2 linked regions of the Styela clava genome follow. The protein of the gene in region 2 interacts with the protein of the main gene of each other region in a pairwise test. Links are inferred from orthologs where the notes say so. Each region holds a gene or a part of one and is shown on either strand. Other genes may lie near its edges.

Region 1 (9,580 bases), on a different chromosome or scaffold from region 2:
TCACCTCGTCACTCTACAAGACCAGCAGCCGAGCGAGCTGCAGCTGCAATATGTGCATCATCAGAAGAGATGGATGAAACTAGTAATGGAAGAGTTACATTCACTAGACAGTCTGATGCAGAAAGTTTATCTGGATATAGTGATTCAGAGCCAGATAGGACTGGACGTAGTCATGCGACTGGCTAATATTTTCAATTCGATTCAACTCAATGCGAGCCTTCTTTTTGCATAATATGTTTGAAAAACAATGGTATAGGTGTTTGAGAGGAGTAATTTCTAATTTTGATTTGGACGGGTATGACTGAAAACTTTTAAGATAGGGCTTCATAAGGCAATAACTTTTATAAATCTTATGATTTGCTCAATTTTATTGTTGTTTTATTTTTTAACATTGTTCTCGATATTGTGAGCTAATTTTGTATGATTCTTGGATATTTTTCAGTAGCACATTAAGTGTAGAAACTGGAAGAAATATAGGACCTAAATTTTTCATCCTGACGTTATGTGCCTCAAAAAAAAAAATTTGTTGAAATATTGGTAATGATGAAAATGCGAAATTCTCGATATGTACTTTATATTTATATATGTTTTAACCAGTACTGTCTCCCAGTCTACGAGGAAATTGTGCAATTTATTACATTCAGCCGTGTTGTGATTTTCTGTAGAATTCATTCACCAAAAATTTAATTAAGATTAGTGTTTGGCCGACTGTGAGGCAAGCTTATGCACTGCGGTTTGTGCGTGGTACTAAGCGTTATACCCGTTTACCATCGCGCGTCGGCATTAGCATTATGTGTCCGTCTATTCGAAATTTTGTTTTAAACTGGCGTCTATCAGTTGGCAAGGGTCATTGAATAGTAAACATGTGCTCCATGCTCCGTCTTGTTAGTAGAGGAACGTGCCAGAGTTGCTAGCAGCAATTTGAACCATCTTATCGTACTTGCCCAGAGCAGGGAGAAGAATATGCCTCACGCTTGCGACGTGTATTGGATCTAATTTTTCTTGCTCATGGGAAAAGGTTAGGCGCAATTATTTGTTCAGCTGGGACTTTGACGGGCACCTACCGGATGGTCGTAAACATGAGATCTCATTCGGCGGCTATAAGTCCGGCATTTATAAATAATTGTACATAGCCAATACATAAATGTACAATGTGGTTTATCACAGGTTTCAAATCCGCGAGCTGCAGGGACGAATGTCCACCACGAATCGCCGTTGTTTAACTTTTTTCCACCCGAAATTAAGTGTCCCTGCTCGATAACCAGTCTTGGTGTCTCGCGCCTCCTTTCACCCTGAAGTACCATTTTACTTCATTTTTTGTATTTTTTATTCGCTATGGTGGAAAAATAAATTACTGATTCATCAGATATGTCGTGTATGAGGAGAAATATAGAGGCTCATTATTTTTTTCAACCAAAATGCATATTCGAAGTGATAAAAAATTGAACAGAACTCATTTTGGTACAGACTGGGAGATGGCGATAGGACCAAAGACCATGGAAGTCAATCACCAATGATGTATCAAAAAATATCTGTCATGTCTATAACAATATCAGCTAAGAGTTGGGTGTAACAGTTTCTGCGTCTGCGAGACTTCCTTCGAATTTCTTGGAAAAGTGCAAGAAACCTGAATTGGTCGCTTCTCAACTGTCAAGATACAAGTCTGGTCAGGTGTCGCACGATATCATGGAATGCCTGTCCAAAAAATTATCCGACTCGATACAGTAATTAGTACGGTAATAAAATGCAGACATGAGTCAACTCAAGACACAGTTATGTCTTTCTTTTTAGTAAGTGAACGTGGACAATTCCGGACTCCTGAATGAGATTCGGACCCAGCGAGGTTCGCGAAGGGACTGGAATTGAATGACGTCATTTCATAGGCGTATTGGGTGTCTGAGGCCATCGTACTGTCGTACAGTCGTAAAGCAATGCCGGTGGGCTGCTGTTGAATTATTCTGTATATATGTGATATTTCAGTATTTAGTCATAGTAAAACAGTTATTCATGTTTCAGTGTTTTGTAGTGCTAACATCCGAACATAAGGTACGGACTTGGTTACATGGTCTAGCTGTAAAGCGCACAAAACGATGTTTAATTACTGTTAAAATATTATCTTTAATTAATTATGTTTATGATACAGTGATTCTGTTGACTTTGGATAGAATTAAGGTATAGGATAGAATTCACATAATTATCCTGGGGAGCTGATAAGACGGCTTAATTATTTGCCGAACCATAGGTCTGTAGGTAGTAGATACTTTATTTTGAAAACTCCATAATACACACCAATTAAAAAGGGAGAATTCTGGAGAGCGGGCAAAGCCTTAAAACCGCCCACCAGCACACACACAAAAAAAAGTTACAAAAAATAAACAAACCCAATTAACCAGGCTAGGGTCAGAAATGACCAAACAAGAGATGCGCAAATGTATTGAACTTTTGGGCTATTATACTTTTAAAACACTCAAGCTAATACAGTACAGCAGTAATAATGACTAATTCAATCTGATACTGGTATACAGGTATATGCTGATATGCCTTAATTCAGTAATTTGAATGTCCTAAAAGGATGGAAATATAAGTTCAATTTTCAATCTTTTCAGACTTACACCAGTACACTGATACAGCAATATCTGAATATACAGATATATGTTGTTATTTAAAGTACCAGTAATGTTTATTTTGTCCCATCCATCAATGATATTGCGATAAACCGAAGATCCTTGGCGTCAAATATAAACCTTGATCAACAGATAATATTATTTCCAATTCTCGAAAGTATTTTACAATATTATTTATTGATCATTACAAAATAAAACCCTTAACACCAGATTACTCTACAGCCCACAGTTTTCAGGTTTTAGTATTAGCATCTCAGTATCAATACCAAAGTAAGAACTAACAGAAGGATGAATATCTTTCGAGATTTGATGAGGATTTTGAGAAGGATGAATATCTTTTGAGATTTGATGTTGACTGTTTGTATGTTGATCCCTTTTAATGAACCATTATCCGCAATACCTTTCCATTGATTTTTTCTATTCTCTTTATATCTTGCAAATGTTCTGTTCCATACTGCAGACAGCTTCACTGAGAGATAAAAATGCATGTGAAATATTTTTAATTACCAGAATATTTTGTGTATGGATCAGAATATAGTCTACCATCTGTCAGTAAATTGTTTTTTGCAATCCATCCCTCTACAGCTCTATGAATGTAAAGGATGCTGTATTCTCATATTGTTGGCTATGCCATATAGGCTACAACTATCATTGATTATTTTTGGCAAGAAAATGTTTTCATCAGAGCTGATGGATTTTATATAACATACATAGTTCAGTACTATGTTTGGCTTTGGTAAAGGTCTATGCTAAAATCTTCACACTAAAATGTCAAATTTGTTTAAATAGTTATAGTTACCTTACAGCTTGTATAGATGTGACTGAAAATTTAAAATGCTCACGTAAAACATTCAAATCTTTTTGGCCTTGGAATTGAGAAAAACCGGTGTAATGAATTCCCATATTTGAAATCACTGCATTATTGGTCATTTTGACCAGTTGAGACCACTGTTTATGGCTTTCCTCATGCTGCTCTTAGAAATGCAAGGCATAAAAGCAGTAATTCTAATTAAATAAACTTTTATGTTCATAACCTAATTGACTTTGCTTGGATTTAAATTAAAACAGTATAATAATAATATTGTGCCTAAGCTATAGCTGTGCTAAATAAGTTCTATAACAAACTATAAACAACTTCTTTAACGAAGATATATATAAATAACTCAAAACAAGCATGATTTTCCAAAATTTACTTATGTAATATCTAGACTCTGCTTATCTGATTTAAAATCTCTCTGCGAATGGTGGTGCTATTTTATAATTTAGTTTCCAGAAACTAAAAATTGTTTATGTACTATTATAGTTGCGATTGAATTGATTAGAATGAGTCATTATGAATTGTTTTAGCTAGATTTATTGTTTTGCTTGAAGTGAATGTGTGAAATGTCCCATGAAAAGCTCACCAAATTTTTAAGAAAAGGATTAAATAGGAAGATTGTTAGTTAGACTGACAAGAGTTGTAAACTCTGAAACTTGTTAGTGAAAACTGTAGTGTATGCTCCCATTTGTTGAGATGGAATTATTTTTGCTGTGGAGGAATTATACAGCCTTATCAAACTCTTTACAGTTAGTATAGTGAGTCATTGACCTAAATTTATAACCCATTTATGCATTTGAATCATAAATAGAGATTTGAAGTTGTGCATACTCATATTCTGGGATATATTTTACTTTAGTTGAAAAAATGTTCATCGTAAATTCAATAAACAAACAAATATTCTATCCCATTGTTCTGTACATTCAAGAACATTTTATATACATATTGATGTTAATTACATATTGGAATTAGGTTGATAATATAGACAATTTAAAAATATAGCAGTATTGATATCAGTATTGGCAATAAAGTGATATCGGCACATCTTTAGTTTTCAACATGCTAAGCTCGGGACGGGTCTCGTGTAGTTTCGTACCTAACGTACTTCTAGTGGGTGTAGCATAACATTTTTTTGACATGTCAATCCTAACCCTCACCTGACTACGCCATCCAAAAATTACGTCACTACGTCGTCACAATCCCGTCATAGAGCTTGCCAAATACTCGTACGATTGCCCGAAATGACATCGGCGCCGACGATAAAGAGCTGACTAACGTCAGCGATCTCTCTCCTATCGGGATCGTTGCGACGAGAAAACGAGAGAAATAGCTGTTCGATTTCGGGTTCTCGTCTGCGCGTCTTGAATGACGGTTCGCATAGTTTGAAGGGCTCTATTACGTCGTAGTGACGTAGTTTTTGGATGGTGTGGTCAGGTGGGGGTTAGGATTGACACGTGAAAAAATTGTTATGCTACGCCTACGTTAGGTAAGTTAGGTACGAAACTCGGGACAGTATAAGAATGATCAAAGATTTTGAATACAACTCCTGTATGGAATAATTGTCGTTTCGTCGTACAATTTCATTGCTCAGGAATTAGAATAGGATTTACATATTTATCCCAGAGTAGAGGAAAGTCGATTAAAAGGCTTAATCATATGTCAAACCATGGCCCCTCGTCCTGTTACCGATCCATGTTGGGTATGGGAGTAGTTGGCCAGTTATTTGTTTTCATATGCATGGACAATGCCTTAGCCTGAACATGGCTCTGAACAAGTAACTCTTCTGATATAAGGTGATATTATTGATGAAAACACTGGAATACAGTACAGTACAGTAATGCTCCACCTAGTCAATGATAAATATAACAATTGACATGGCAAGTATTTGATTGATTCTGAATATTTAACAACTGCACTTTTTATACAATTTTACCAGGTTTTTGTGGAAGTTATTGCATTGGATTATTTTTTGTCAAGCCTGTTATCTTATTATATAATTTGAAAGGGAGGTTTCCCTAATTACACCTCCATATGAAATATGGCAAGGGAATATGATCATTTGTTCAAGCTTTTAATTATAGGAGATAGTGGTAAGTACTTTGTGTCTATCGTTTGTTGTGTTGTTTTTTATGCATACCAAGTAAAAAGTTGATGACTAAAGTGTAAATTTTCACAGGTGTCGGCAAAAGCAGTTTGTTGTTGAGGTTTGCAGACAACACATTTTCAGGTATTTATATCTCCAGTTTAATTTGTTTCCAAGCTTCATCCTTAGGTTTTTATTTTGAATTATGTTCAATTTTCAAAGAGTTAATTTATTTGAGTGTAATTTACGTTCTTAATGCTTTGTGTATGATTGTGATACATTGATTCAACTTTGCACTTTGTGTTATTTATTGAATGCCACACACAGGGAGTTATATTACAACAATTGGAGTTGATTTCAAAATCAGAACAGTTGAAATTGAAGGCGAAAAAGTCAAATTACAGATCTGGGATACAGCAGGCCAAGAACGATTTCGTACAATAACATCAACGTAAGAATATAAATTGTAGCGAGTACAATTCGTGAGCTGTTGTTTTATTAACTCATTCAGGCTTTCAATTATGAATGTTTAAAAATGCATCTCAGTTAGTTTTGAATTCCGTGTAGTAATGAGTAAATAACACTTTTTTAAAAATTATAAGGGTAATCAAAATTTAGTTCCAATTTTAATTTTTTTCATTCTAAATGATATTTACCGTAGGTCAAATTTTACGAAATAAGATTCAGAAAAGTAGAGCGAGGTCTTTAAAAAAATTGGAATAAACAAATCTATTTCTGTTTTGATCAGTATTTTATTCCAGTATCTCTGTGTATTATATTGAAAACATGTAACAAAATATATCGCAGTCGGACATTAACAGTTTTATTGTACTAATGATTTTAACAGATATTACAGAGGGACACATGGTGTTATTGTTGTTTATGATGTGCAAAGTGCAGAATCATTTGTCAATGTCAAGAGGTGGCTTCATGAAATTGAACAAAATTGTGATATCGTCAATAAAATATTAGGTTAGTATTCCTTAATCTCTTCAAGTAGAATCGGTTGAAATCAACAATTTTGTATTGAAAATTAATTTGAAGATTGTTTTTCTTTCTACAGTTGGTAATAAAGATGATGATCCTGACAAAAAAGTTGTAGAAACAGCAGATGCTCAAAAATTTGCAGATCAAATTAAAATAAAATTGTTTGAAACAAGTGCGAAAGAAAATAAAAATGTTGAAGAGGTGAGTCTGCCGATCATACAGTTTGAAAAGTTTATAAGCTTCTGCATATTTGATAGGCATGTTGAAAGTAATTTTAGAATACAACCATGTAGGCTACTGTTTTTTGTGTGTGAATATCACCAGCTAATAAGATAAAACTGGCATACTTGTGTCAATATTTAACTATACATTACAGTTTCTCTCAGCAAATACGATTGTTTATTGTGATATTCTGAATCCTCCATGGAAATGAAATCTACTCCAATTCAGTTCAGTTGAACTTGTATCCATATAATATGTGTATAGTTTATGCTATACTGTATAGATTTTAAAAACTATCTATTTTCTACTTGCACAAAGAATTCACATTGATGTCCAATTTCTCTTAGCAAACAAGGTACAAAATTGTTTTTCGTAATAGTATGAATCTCTTATGGAAATGTAATACATTTCAAATTAGTCAAGACCAGTTTTGTGAATCACTGCCATCTCATGATGCCATAATCATGCCATTGTATTCTGCTGACTGACCTTTTTTGATCAGTAATCATAATTGACTGCAGTAAGTTCATTAGGAAATTTTCACATTTTAAGAAGTTTCAGGATTTTGCCTGTTGCTTTATCAACAAGTCAGGTCATAGCAGGAAGTAATTGGTGTGATGGCTGAGGCGGTCTTGTCTCGTAGGTTACAGTAAATTTTTCGTGTGATTCTTATATACCTTAGAGATCTATTAGTTATAGCATAGGCAGGAGATATACAATTTATGACATTTACAAATTATGACATTATACAAATTATGTGCTTTTTGATCATAGGAGCTATACCATGTTGGTTCAATAAATGTTGACAAAAAAACGGTTCAAGATGACTTAGTACATGTTATGCCTAAAATGATAGTTTACTGACTTATGACCATAAGAATCATTGTTCAATTATCCATTTTAAAATGTACTGTCACATAGTATTTTTGTCACTAGGAAGACATAGCTAGTTAACCTTTTTTCATGTTCGGCATACTTTACTGTATTGACACAAATAACCTTTTATATTACTCATTACTTGATGATGACTGGTTTTCAGTCATCCCACATACCCGGTTGAATAATTTGAAGTTTTACTAATGCAAGGTTTGTCTAAAGTGATTGATATTCACTATTGAACAACAGATAAATAGGTATAAACTATGTGTAATTGTAAATAAATAAACAAGACTAAATAACTACTATTGTATGTACGCAATTTTTCTCTTTATCATCAAATCTGTACGTCAAATTATTAACATTATTTCAAGTTATACCAGTTTTAATTGGTATACACCAATTTGAGCCTTATTTATAATAATGGAATACTAGAAGTATGAAATATTATGCTGTCATAAATATAAGCACAGAATGACTGGTTAATGAGGCTATGCCTAAGTTTTATTCAATAAACATGATTAGTTTATTTTACTATTATACTTTTCAGATGTTCACTGAAGTTACACGACAAGTTTTAAGAACCAAGAAATCTGCGGAGGCATCTGGTCGAGATCAAAACATTGAAACAGTTAAACTAGATACAAAGAAAAAGGGGAAAAAGAAGGGTGGATGCTGTTAATGAGATTGGTTATTCGCCGAATTATATATAAAATCTGGTTTCTGGGCCCCAATTATCACCATATGTGCCCCAGTTGTCAGAAGCTGACTATATTATTGAATAACCCAAAATATTATTACAGTGGAGTAAAAATATTAGAAAAATATCACAGTGGAGTTGGAGGTATGGTTGAAAGAGCCATTTAAATGATATTAGGTCTTTTAATATAAGAAACATCAATTCTTTTCACTCAATTTCTATATTATATTATTTCAAAATCAGTACCCTGGGGTTTGCCACATGTTATAACTGCATAAAGTAACAGATATAATTCATTATTCAACACATAGAAAGTTGCATACACATTGTATCAAAAATAGAACCTGACGCTGGAAACATAATTTGATAATGCTTATTGACCAGCTCACACTCATAGAAAAATCATGTCTATACAATGCAGTTTGTAGTGTATTTATAGAATGGAGACTTAATTCATGAAGCTCCAGTGCTTTTTTTCATCATCGATTACTATATTTTCAACTTTTTCTAATTGATTTGTCTCTAACTATACATTTCTCATAAGACGACATTCTCCTAATAAACGAATTATCTTTGCTGGGAAGTGCTTTAAATATTCAAAAAAACACATCTTATTGTTGTAGATCAGAGTACTTGAAAAACACCTAAATTAAAGAATTTATTATATATGTCTTGTGTTTAAAAAAAAAATCTAAGCCATAATTGTAAGGTTGTTTAAATAATATGGTTCAAATCAAACCAAAAAACAGCTATTGACGGAGAGACGGTTATTTGTTTTGGGGTCTTTATTCCTAGAAGTTGAGACAGCCGTATTCATAGCCATTGTCATAGCAAGAAAGCAGTACTGTCACCCACTGTTTTCAATGCATCAGCCTTTTAATCAGCCATCACAATTACTCAGCTGTATTCATAGTAGAAATTCATGAACTTTGGCTTTTAATAAATGTCTGTTTGTACTTCGAAATCATGCATAGTGTCTAAATCTAAAGAATTAGTATTGATTACAAAAACAGACATGATATATTATGTATTACTATTCCATTTCATTTGACAAGGGTATTTATTATTACTCATTCAACTGCATTTGATTGGCATTTTGGTGTAATCATTATTAGCGAAATTATGGATGCCCTTGTGTTTTGTAACTATACAGAGAATGGTTAGTATACAAATTGACTATTTTGAGTTTAAAAAAACATGGTCTTTATATGTAGAGGGATGTTCAATTAGATTTCAATGCTAAGAATTACCTAATTCTGAATGAAAATTCT
Region 2 (8,688 bases):
AAAACATTGGTGAAATGATCTCACTGGTCTGGATGTGATGTGTCAAACCAAAGATATCTTATCTGTAATCCTAACATCAACAACTGATAAATATAACAAAAAAATCATCTTGAATACGGACATTTGTTAGATAATATTGAATTTGACACCTTCAAATGTAAAAATATAAGCAGTCTGTGTCTTAATGCTGGTAAAAATAAGGTTTCATAATGACAGAGTTATTATTACAGACGGTTCAGAGTTATTTCTATACGCAGATAGGCATAAAATTTGATAGAATGTGAGTGAGCACTGCCATGCTTGAAATTATGAAAAACACTAACATGTTTTGCATAAATTTAAAAATTTACATACATAGTTCTTTCTTCCGGTTAATGGAAAATGTACTATATTAAATGTATATATTGAACTCAAATGTTCAAAAGAAAACAAGTATGAACCATTAAAAAGATTAAAGAACAACATTAAATTATATCAAATTTCATGTCATGATAAAAGCACATATTCTATCAATTACCTGATAAACATATTCCATTGTAACATTTCTGAAAGTAGTTTTATGATTAGCGAGAGATGATTCTGATTCTTCAATTTCATGAGGTTTATATCGACTGACTGATGCATGTTTACTCAATGCATTATCAAAGTCGTTTGAAACTTTATCGAAAGTTTTCTTCAGATCTTGATTTCCTTTGACATCTCTGAATAAGGAATTAAACAAAAATAAATGACAAAATACAATTAAATTCGACAATTTAACATAGAAGGACTTTAATGTCTTGCAACATATCAGTTACTGCTTGAATCTTACATATTACCAATATTTTATGCCATGGCTTGGAAATTAGTTCTCCCTTCCTCCTAGTGAGTCTTCACTCAGACTTTCAATATTAGCTATTTAACACATATGACATAAATTACCAATATATATATATATATATATATATTCACTTTTCTGAAACAGAAATAACCTATTTAAGTTGTTACACCTGAGTGAGATTGAGGGTATGGATTACGCACCGACTGCAATCAATAGCCTACTTTAGCTTATATATTTCAGATTAGATTAGATAGAATGTTACAACATATGAATGTCTGAAGTACTAGAAGCCAACTTTATCCATATATAGAGAGACAATTTGAACCGCTTCTTACAAAACAGAAATTTTCCTATATATTTTTGTATAACATAAATTGTGATTAAATTAGAACTGCCTTGTTATGACGCTGTGTCATGCAAATTCCCATAATCATCACCATGGCAATGCAAACAGAATTATTCATACTGCTTTTAAAATGTCTATTCAAGTGTGTCTTCATCAGCAGGCAAACGGGTTAATGTACAAAGTCAAATTTACAGATTATCCTAATTAATTTCATCTATATTTATATTATCTATATTCAAATGAATATGTTTTATTCAATTGTTATGTAGTAACTTATGTGGTAAATTACTATGAATAGACATTTGAATTGTAGACAAAACATATATTGTTTGCATGCTAAGATTTGTGTATACCCACTTCAAGGAATATAATTTTGATTTGTGTTACTACCATAATATAGGTCAAGGCATGAATGCTATAGGTATAAAAGCAATTCCTTAAATAAAGTAGTATTGAGATAGAACATTTCAAGTTACAATACAAATCTTTTCCTGTAAACTATTACTCACGTTTTCAGGAAGTGTGTCATACGTGTGTTTATCGATTTCTGTGCTTGATCCAGGATCTATTGAATGAGAAAATATAGATTTGAACGATTTATTCTTTTGTGTTTAGTTATAGAAGTTTGGTCCAAGCTTGGACAATCATATCATAGTAAAAGTAGATTGAAAGCATTTTTGTAATGTAGAATTCAAATTTTCATGATCATGAATGAATTCATGACATCTTGCAACTTTCGAAAGCATTGACTCTGAATGAATATGATTTACTACTATTACTACTTACTAGTAATATCAATTGTTGAAATGTTTGTGAATTCATTTTGTTCATCAAGATAAAGTTTATTAAGGAAAGATAAAGAAATTATCACTCATTGTTTATCAGCACTTATGGTAAGTTATCAATGTATAAAACTTAAAGTAATTTCTTTTTACAAGAATACTTTTGGATAATTGAGGTGTATTAACCTTGCAAATGCGAAACAATTGCAAAAACGCATTTTCTAGTATATTATCAGTCCTTGTAGTGTAAAACCGAACAAAAAACCTCAGTATTAATAGTATTTATTTCATCACCATGCAAGAAGTGAATAGATAATGAACATTCATTTACACAAAAGAAAAAAAGAAAACAGTTTGACAGAACAAGGGAGTCACATAGACTGTGAAGGTTATCAGAGTCGTGACGTTTGCATTGCATTAAATTGCATTCAAACTATTGTAAAATAGAACACTTGTTTCAACTTACCGAGTGGAAAGAATTTATTTCTTCCAAAACATGTAAAAACTGGTTGATAATATTCTGCAAAAATAAAATTATAATTACTGTTACTGAGAGCACAATACATAATTTAATATCACTCAGAATACATTATAATATTCCACTATCTATGTGGAACACAAGTTCGGCAAGAACATTCGTTCTGAGTTTACTTAACTTCAAAATATCAGTGTGAGTGGATCACAATGAGTACCAAGAATTATAAAGCAAAATTGATATATCATATGGCTTTGATTTTTAATGACATAAAATTACATCTAAAAACTTGAAGCATCAATGTTATTGATATTACTAACTTATAAATGCTATTCTTTATATTAATGAATTAGAGAACAGGAATTCATTTCAAAAAGTACCTTTAAAAACTCATCATCTTTATAATATCCTCTCAATTCTAAAATAACTTCTTTCAACATTCTGTAAAATCAATAATACAAAATGAACTTTACTTCAAAATTAAAAGTCTAGTCCCATTGAAATCTAATAACAATAAAGAGGCAATGTTTTAAGGATTTAATTCATATATATAAAAATAAATAGAAATTGTTCCTTAAATACAGGCTTATGATAATGAATCAAATCATTTTGTTCTAGTTCAGTTGTTAATTATGCTTATGTCTTATGGGGTGTGATTAGGCCAACAATCACACTCCAAAGTCACAGCCATTTAAAAAATGACTCTGTGAGTTTACTCAAATATTATGACTCAAAACTCTGACTCCTTATTTTGGGTTGTCTTCATCTCTCAAGAAAATTAATTTTGAATACAACGATGTTAACAGATGCAAGCCAACTTCAATAGTCTATTGTGAATTCTTGATAAACATAACGCCTTTTTGTACCAGTTGGACAATTTTACTTTGATTCACACTCTTACATATCTGAGATTACGACTCCGACTCTAGAAGTTTTAAAACACAATTCCGACCCGGATCCCAGGGACTTATAAACCACTCTTGAAGGTTACGTAATTGAGCAAGATCATCTTAACAATTTGTAACAAACTTACAAATTTGCAGAACTGTAAAGTTTTTCAGCTTCATTTGCATAGTTGTATTGCTTTAAAACCTGTACGGATTCAATAACACAACAATTACTTGTAGTCATACCTTAATAGATAACACTCTCCATTACAAAATATAGGTTCAACCACTTATAAAATAGTTTTCTGGCTTTTGTTTATATAAACAAGAAAATATAATCCAAATTTTATGAGCCACTTAAGTAATAGTAAATGCTATCACTGTATTATGTGAATAAATATACCGAAAATATGTCTGTATGTGGAACATTAAACACAAGTATGTGGAGAATCATCATATGATTCTAACGTTGTCATCTCATATTTTAAAACCAATTACCTTTTCCAAAAGACCCTCGAGAGCACATGTGTCATTTTCTGAGCTGTGTAGCAATTCTCTGAAACATAAAATAATAGGTCATTCATTTAAATTTTTTACTCTGGAAACTTGACCAGAACAATTGAAACATATTCAAATAGCCATACCGGTAGACTACACATGCAAACACTGAAACATGTGCCCTAAACATATTCAGCCAATACATTCAATATTAAAATATGGTGATACCACTTTACCTGAACATCGGAGAATCCTTGACACATTCATCAAATTCAAGTGCGGGTGCCATTGAAATTCAATTTACATAAAATCTATTTTACTATAAATATAAACTTGAAAATAAGGTGTTACACACATATTTATCCCAGAGGGAAGAAAAGGTTGTTAATAATAAAACAATAACTGAATACAGGTATATTAAAGTGAAGCCAATATTTTCCGAATAATCAGATACGGTATTCATGTTATGCAGTTATTACAGTATTACTAGCGAGCATCTGACACCGGTAGCATCAACTTTCTGCCATTGTTGTCAGATTGTAGTCTAATTGCTTAGAGTCCGGTAGTTAAGAAAGCCAAAAGTCAGTCACTTCAATAAAAAATAACGGAACTGGCAGGCTGGGTATCTTTGAAAAACAGGCGACCTACCCAGCTGGCCGACTTCACTTTTTCGCTTTTGTATCAAAATTGATATCTTGGCGATTCTTTATTCTTCAAAAATTTACGCCCCGTCGACGCCACCTAGCGGAGAAACTAAGTGGAAACTGGAAAGCAGAATATATTTTTGGGTACAGTAATTTATGTTTTCCCGATCATCAATTTCCTTATTTATTTTCGTAACAAGGGGCCCAATCGGCAATAAGTTAATAATGACGTAATCACTGGAATCGCTGTCATTATGTCTTCTGGGGACCCTAGTTACAATAATCCAAAATTAATACCACAAACGATGCGATAGACTAGGTAAAAATAAGCTATCAGTACCTGTAAGCGGCGACCATTGTAATAAAACTGATTGTTTTGAACTTGTAAACCAGTTTGGAAGCGCCAACTCTCCAAAACACTCTGAAAATCAAAGTTGAAAATGTTGTATTTATCATTACAAAGTATGATAAAGTATTGATGTTTCCCCGACCCTTGACCCCAGGAAAATAGTCTCAATACTTTACTACTACAAAACTTTTGAGACTTATTTTGAGAGTGTTTTAGAGAGTTAATGTTCCAACCAGAGTTGGATCAATTGTAATTTGTAATTGATGTAAATAATAATTACAGTTTTTCATATAATTGTAATATAATTGAGGCATTTTCATTCTGTGTAATTGTAAATGTAATTTTCTGAAAATTTTTGTCTCAATTACACTTTCAATTACACCAGGGGTCACCAAACTACGGCCTCCTTTCATCTGGTCCGCAATAAGACGAAAAAGGGCGAAATATTTTTTCAAGTGGCGTTATCCGAGAATCGCCTTCCTTTTTTATTTCGTAACATTAGTCAATCAACAAGATGCGAAAAAATGACGTAAAACAATACCTTATTTTAAGATTTCGAATTCTATTCGTTAGTATTTAATGGTGTGTCGGAAATTTAAGTTTGAATCAAATAAGTGAATCATCATATTGCCTTCTTAGGAGTTGTAGTTCAATCAATAGTAGTAATCAAAAATTAGTCAAGAAATAGCTGTGATAAAATAGGCTGAATCCATGGGAGCACTGGCTGTCTGGTTTGAATCTGTAAATTCTTGCTACGTTTTGTTAAACTATATATTTGTAATTGTAAAGTAATTGTAATTTGATATTTGTTGCACGGAGTAATTGTAATGTAATTGAAATATTTAAGCGCATAACTGCAATTGTAATTGAACTTAATTAATGTAATTGATCCAACTCTGGTTCAAACCATCAGTTTTATTAAAATATTCAATCACCTGCCGCCTACAGGTACTGATGGCTTATTTATATCTAGTCTTTCGCATCTTTTTCGGGACTAATTTTCTGATCATTGCAGCTAAACTAAAGTTCCTCAGAAGGCTATGCAATTTAAGCGTTTAACGACTGACACTTTTTAACAGTATTGAAGTTACGGCGAAATGCAATTTGAACTTTAAACGATTGGGATTTTCAACAGTATCGAAGTAACGGTGAACTGCTATTTGAACGTTTCACGACTGACGCTTTTTAACAGTGTTAAAGTTGGTACCAATGATGAGTAGTATTCATTGTGCTATTAAAATGAGAAACTCTCAACGAAGACCGAGGGGAAGCAGTAGTTTTTCTAACCATTTACAGTACCGGTACCGTCAAAAACCTTTGACTCCGAGGCACCTCTACAAATAATTTGTATTAATTGTCAAGAGGTCATCACACAAATTTTCAAAGTGAAAAACGAATCACATAGAGCCCACAGAGAGTTTTGAAATAAATAGGAGTGATTGCCTTCTATCGAAAAATACATATTTCGAAGCAATTGATGCAGTAGCGATTTTTTCCATACGGTAACAATGAAAAGAACAATACCAACAAGAACAACAATAAACGATCCATAGGTCCACTTCGAGTCCAATGAAAATAGGCTACTGCCACTAATAAAAATAAATCTCGCTCTTGTTGTCGAAATTCCGTTTTAGGTGATTTCTTCGTAACTTCTTATTTTTGCATTGCACGGGAATATTAAACAACGTTTGAGATTACATATTGCAAAATTCCATTCATTACGGAATACCAGAGAATACATTTCGGTACCATCCAGAATTTCCAAGTGCTCCAGTACTGAATCTGCGACGTCCCACGAGATTTCAATTTCCGGTATGGCAGAAGATATGTTTCTATTCAAGATTTCACCTATGCGCAAGCAAAACTCAAATATATGACATAGCCTACTTGGCCGAATCAAATTGCAATTAGCGATATGGGTTAATTCTCGTTATTTCTGAATTTGTCAATATCGTCCATAGCCCATCAAGTGGCGTTTCTTTCTGACTACAATTGAAGCGCGATTGCATTATTATAATCTAAAATTTCCACTTGATATATATGTATTTACATATTTGGAATAATGCTATTTAATTTTTAAAAACGAGGAAACAATTTTAGAGCTCTCGGATTCTTTATTTTGGTTGACATATTAAACTAATGCCAAAATTAGCTCAACCTATGGAGGATGTGAACGGGGCGTGTAGGCTACTACACTCATGTAATTATATTTACATTAATCAGATCATGTGCAAACTTGTTCCGTGCTGTTGCCATGTGCTCTCTTACAGACATATAACGTCATAGCAAGAGTCGTAACATCCCGTCCCGTCTTTCTTATCTGTCTCATTAGTATGAACAATTTAAAACAAATTCGTAATGGTAAATTGCGTAAAAACTCATAATGCGATGCAAATTCAATCTTTACACTTGAACGTCAAATTAGAACGTTGTCACGTATTTATCGAATCAATGCTAACCGTCATCTACTAGTGTAATGGGAGAATGTCGTTATTTATCAGACTACGAAAGCTGACTAACAGTGCAGATTTTTTTAACAGTGTAAACTTTTATTTATTGAAAACGCTTCTGCTCTGAACGGTAAATATATTGTAAATATTTGTATTAAATCAAGGCAAGGACTTATGTTACGTCTTTGGTTTAGTATGTGATAAGGCTCTGTCAATGTTATGTTAAGCATGACTAAAGATTTATTTAAATATAAGATTTAATTTAGAATATCTGGTGTACTGTAAGGAGCATTTGCACTTACGTTTTGTTTTGTTCGAGTAACTGTTAGGTGATTTAAATATTCCACCTGTATTAGAGAATTTGAGGGTTGCGACGGATATAATATTATCTCAATTCCAAATAGTTGCGACGTGATTCAAAAATGCCGACATGTTTGCTTAGAATGAGTTTTTTACGGCTAGTTTCTCATAATTTGCTTGTGGGTGACGATGAGTCTGAATAAACTGTTCTGTTATCTGTTGAGGACATTTGAATTTCGAATACAAACATTTTCCGCTTAGTTTAAGTATACCAAAGTAGTAGTCAAAGTCCAGTATATTATAATAATTGTTGTATCGTAGGGTTGACCATTTTACTTTGAGCTGCATAACAGATATGTATATTACAAGGCAGTACATTGGGTATATTTGTACAAAATTCAATTCCGACGGAACCAATGGCATGCCCCAACCCGCCTACTATAGATATAGCATTTATTATTTAGCGGGGTAGCGGTCGCAAAACTTTGGCGACAAGCGTAAACATTCTGCTTTCAGCTCTCCTGATTGTGACTTCTTGTCGCCAGCAGATAACACGACTCCGCTGTTTACAGCGTGATTATGTGCACATTTTGGTATAGTTTCAGATCGTTCTGCTATCTAAAAATAAATTGATAATAGCAGTATCTGGAGATAGCTTGATTCCCTTAGATCAGGGGGCGACAACCTACGGCCCGCGGAATAATATAATCCGACCCGCGGCGCTTCACTGAATTATAGTAACAAAGCAGCTGTTTTAACATTATGTTCTTTACGTAACAGAATTTATTGTGAGACACGTGTAGACTAAATTATATTATAATCTAACAAGTATAAAATTCACAATTACTCGTTTAATAAGCCTATAATTTAATTATAATTAAACAAAATGGCAACGAAAAGCAGAAAAGTTGATACTAAGTGCAAAGGGTTCAATGGCGCCGGAATATTCAAATGAAATTTTTTGAGATGCAATGCAATGAGGGAATAAATCTATATTATAATCGAAAGATGTATCACTGCTTGTTTTTTATTATAAAAAGAATTATCCGTTCGGTTTTCAACTTCCTAGAAATATGTGTGCCCAATGACTTGCAACCCTTAATTTTGGCCCGCGAGTGACAAAAGGTTGCCGACCCC

Evidence for each region.
Region 1: the proteins of arf-GAP with coiled-coil, ANK repeat and PH domain-containing protein 2-like (region 2) and ras-related protein Rab-35-like interact in a two-hybrid assay, tested with the Caenorhabditis elegans proteins (2 studies listed by BioGRID). The link is inferred for Styela clava from reciprocal best matches to the Caenorhabditis elegans genes cnt-1 and rab-35.

Annotation. Positions count from the first base shown.
Region 1 is NC_135252.1:15,515,827-15,525,406, forward strand, and holds the start of ras-related protein Rab-35-like, read left to right. Parts: upstream 1-5,359; 5' UTR 5,360-5,479; coding exon 5,480-5,531; intron 5,532-5,617; coding exon 5,618-5,668; intron 5,669-5,851; coding exon 5,852-5,975; intron 5,976-6,371; coding exon 6,372-6,496; intron 6,497-6,587; coding exon 6,588-6,712; intron 6,713-8,159; coding exon 8,160-8,291; 3' UTR 8,292-9,580. Other genes in the region: deoxynucleotidyltransferase terminal-interacting protein 1-like, read left to right, coding at 1-186.
Region 2 is NC_135256.1:11,289,775-11,298,462, reverse strand, and holds the start of arf-GAP with coiled-coil, ANK repeat and PH domain-containing protein 2-like, read right to left. Parts: upstream 4,137-8,688; 5' UTR 4,098-4,136; coding exon 4,045-4,097; intron 3,867-4,044; coding exon 3,809-3,866; intron 3,516-3,808; coding exon 3,457-3,515; intron 2,865-3,456; coding exon 2,804-2,864; intron 2,469-2,803; coding exon 2,415-2,468; intron 1,732-2,414; coding exon 1,676-1,731; intron 702-1,675; coding exon 518-701; intron 1-517. UniProt on the Caenorhabditis elegans protein: GTPase-activating protein for the ADP ribosylation factor family. Regulates endosome recycling downstream of rab-10 and upstream of arf-6.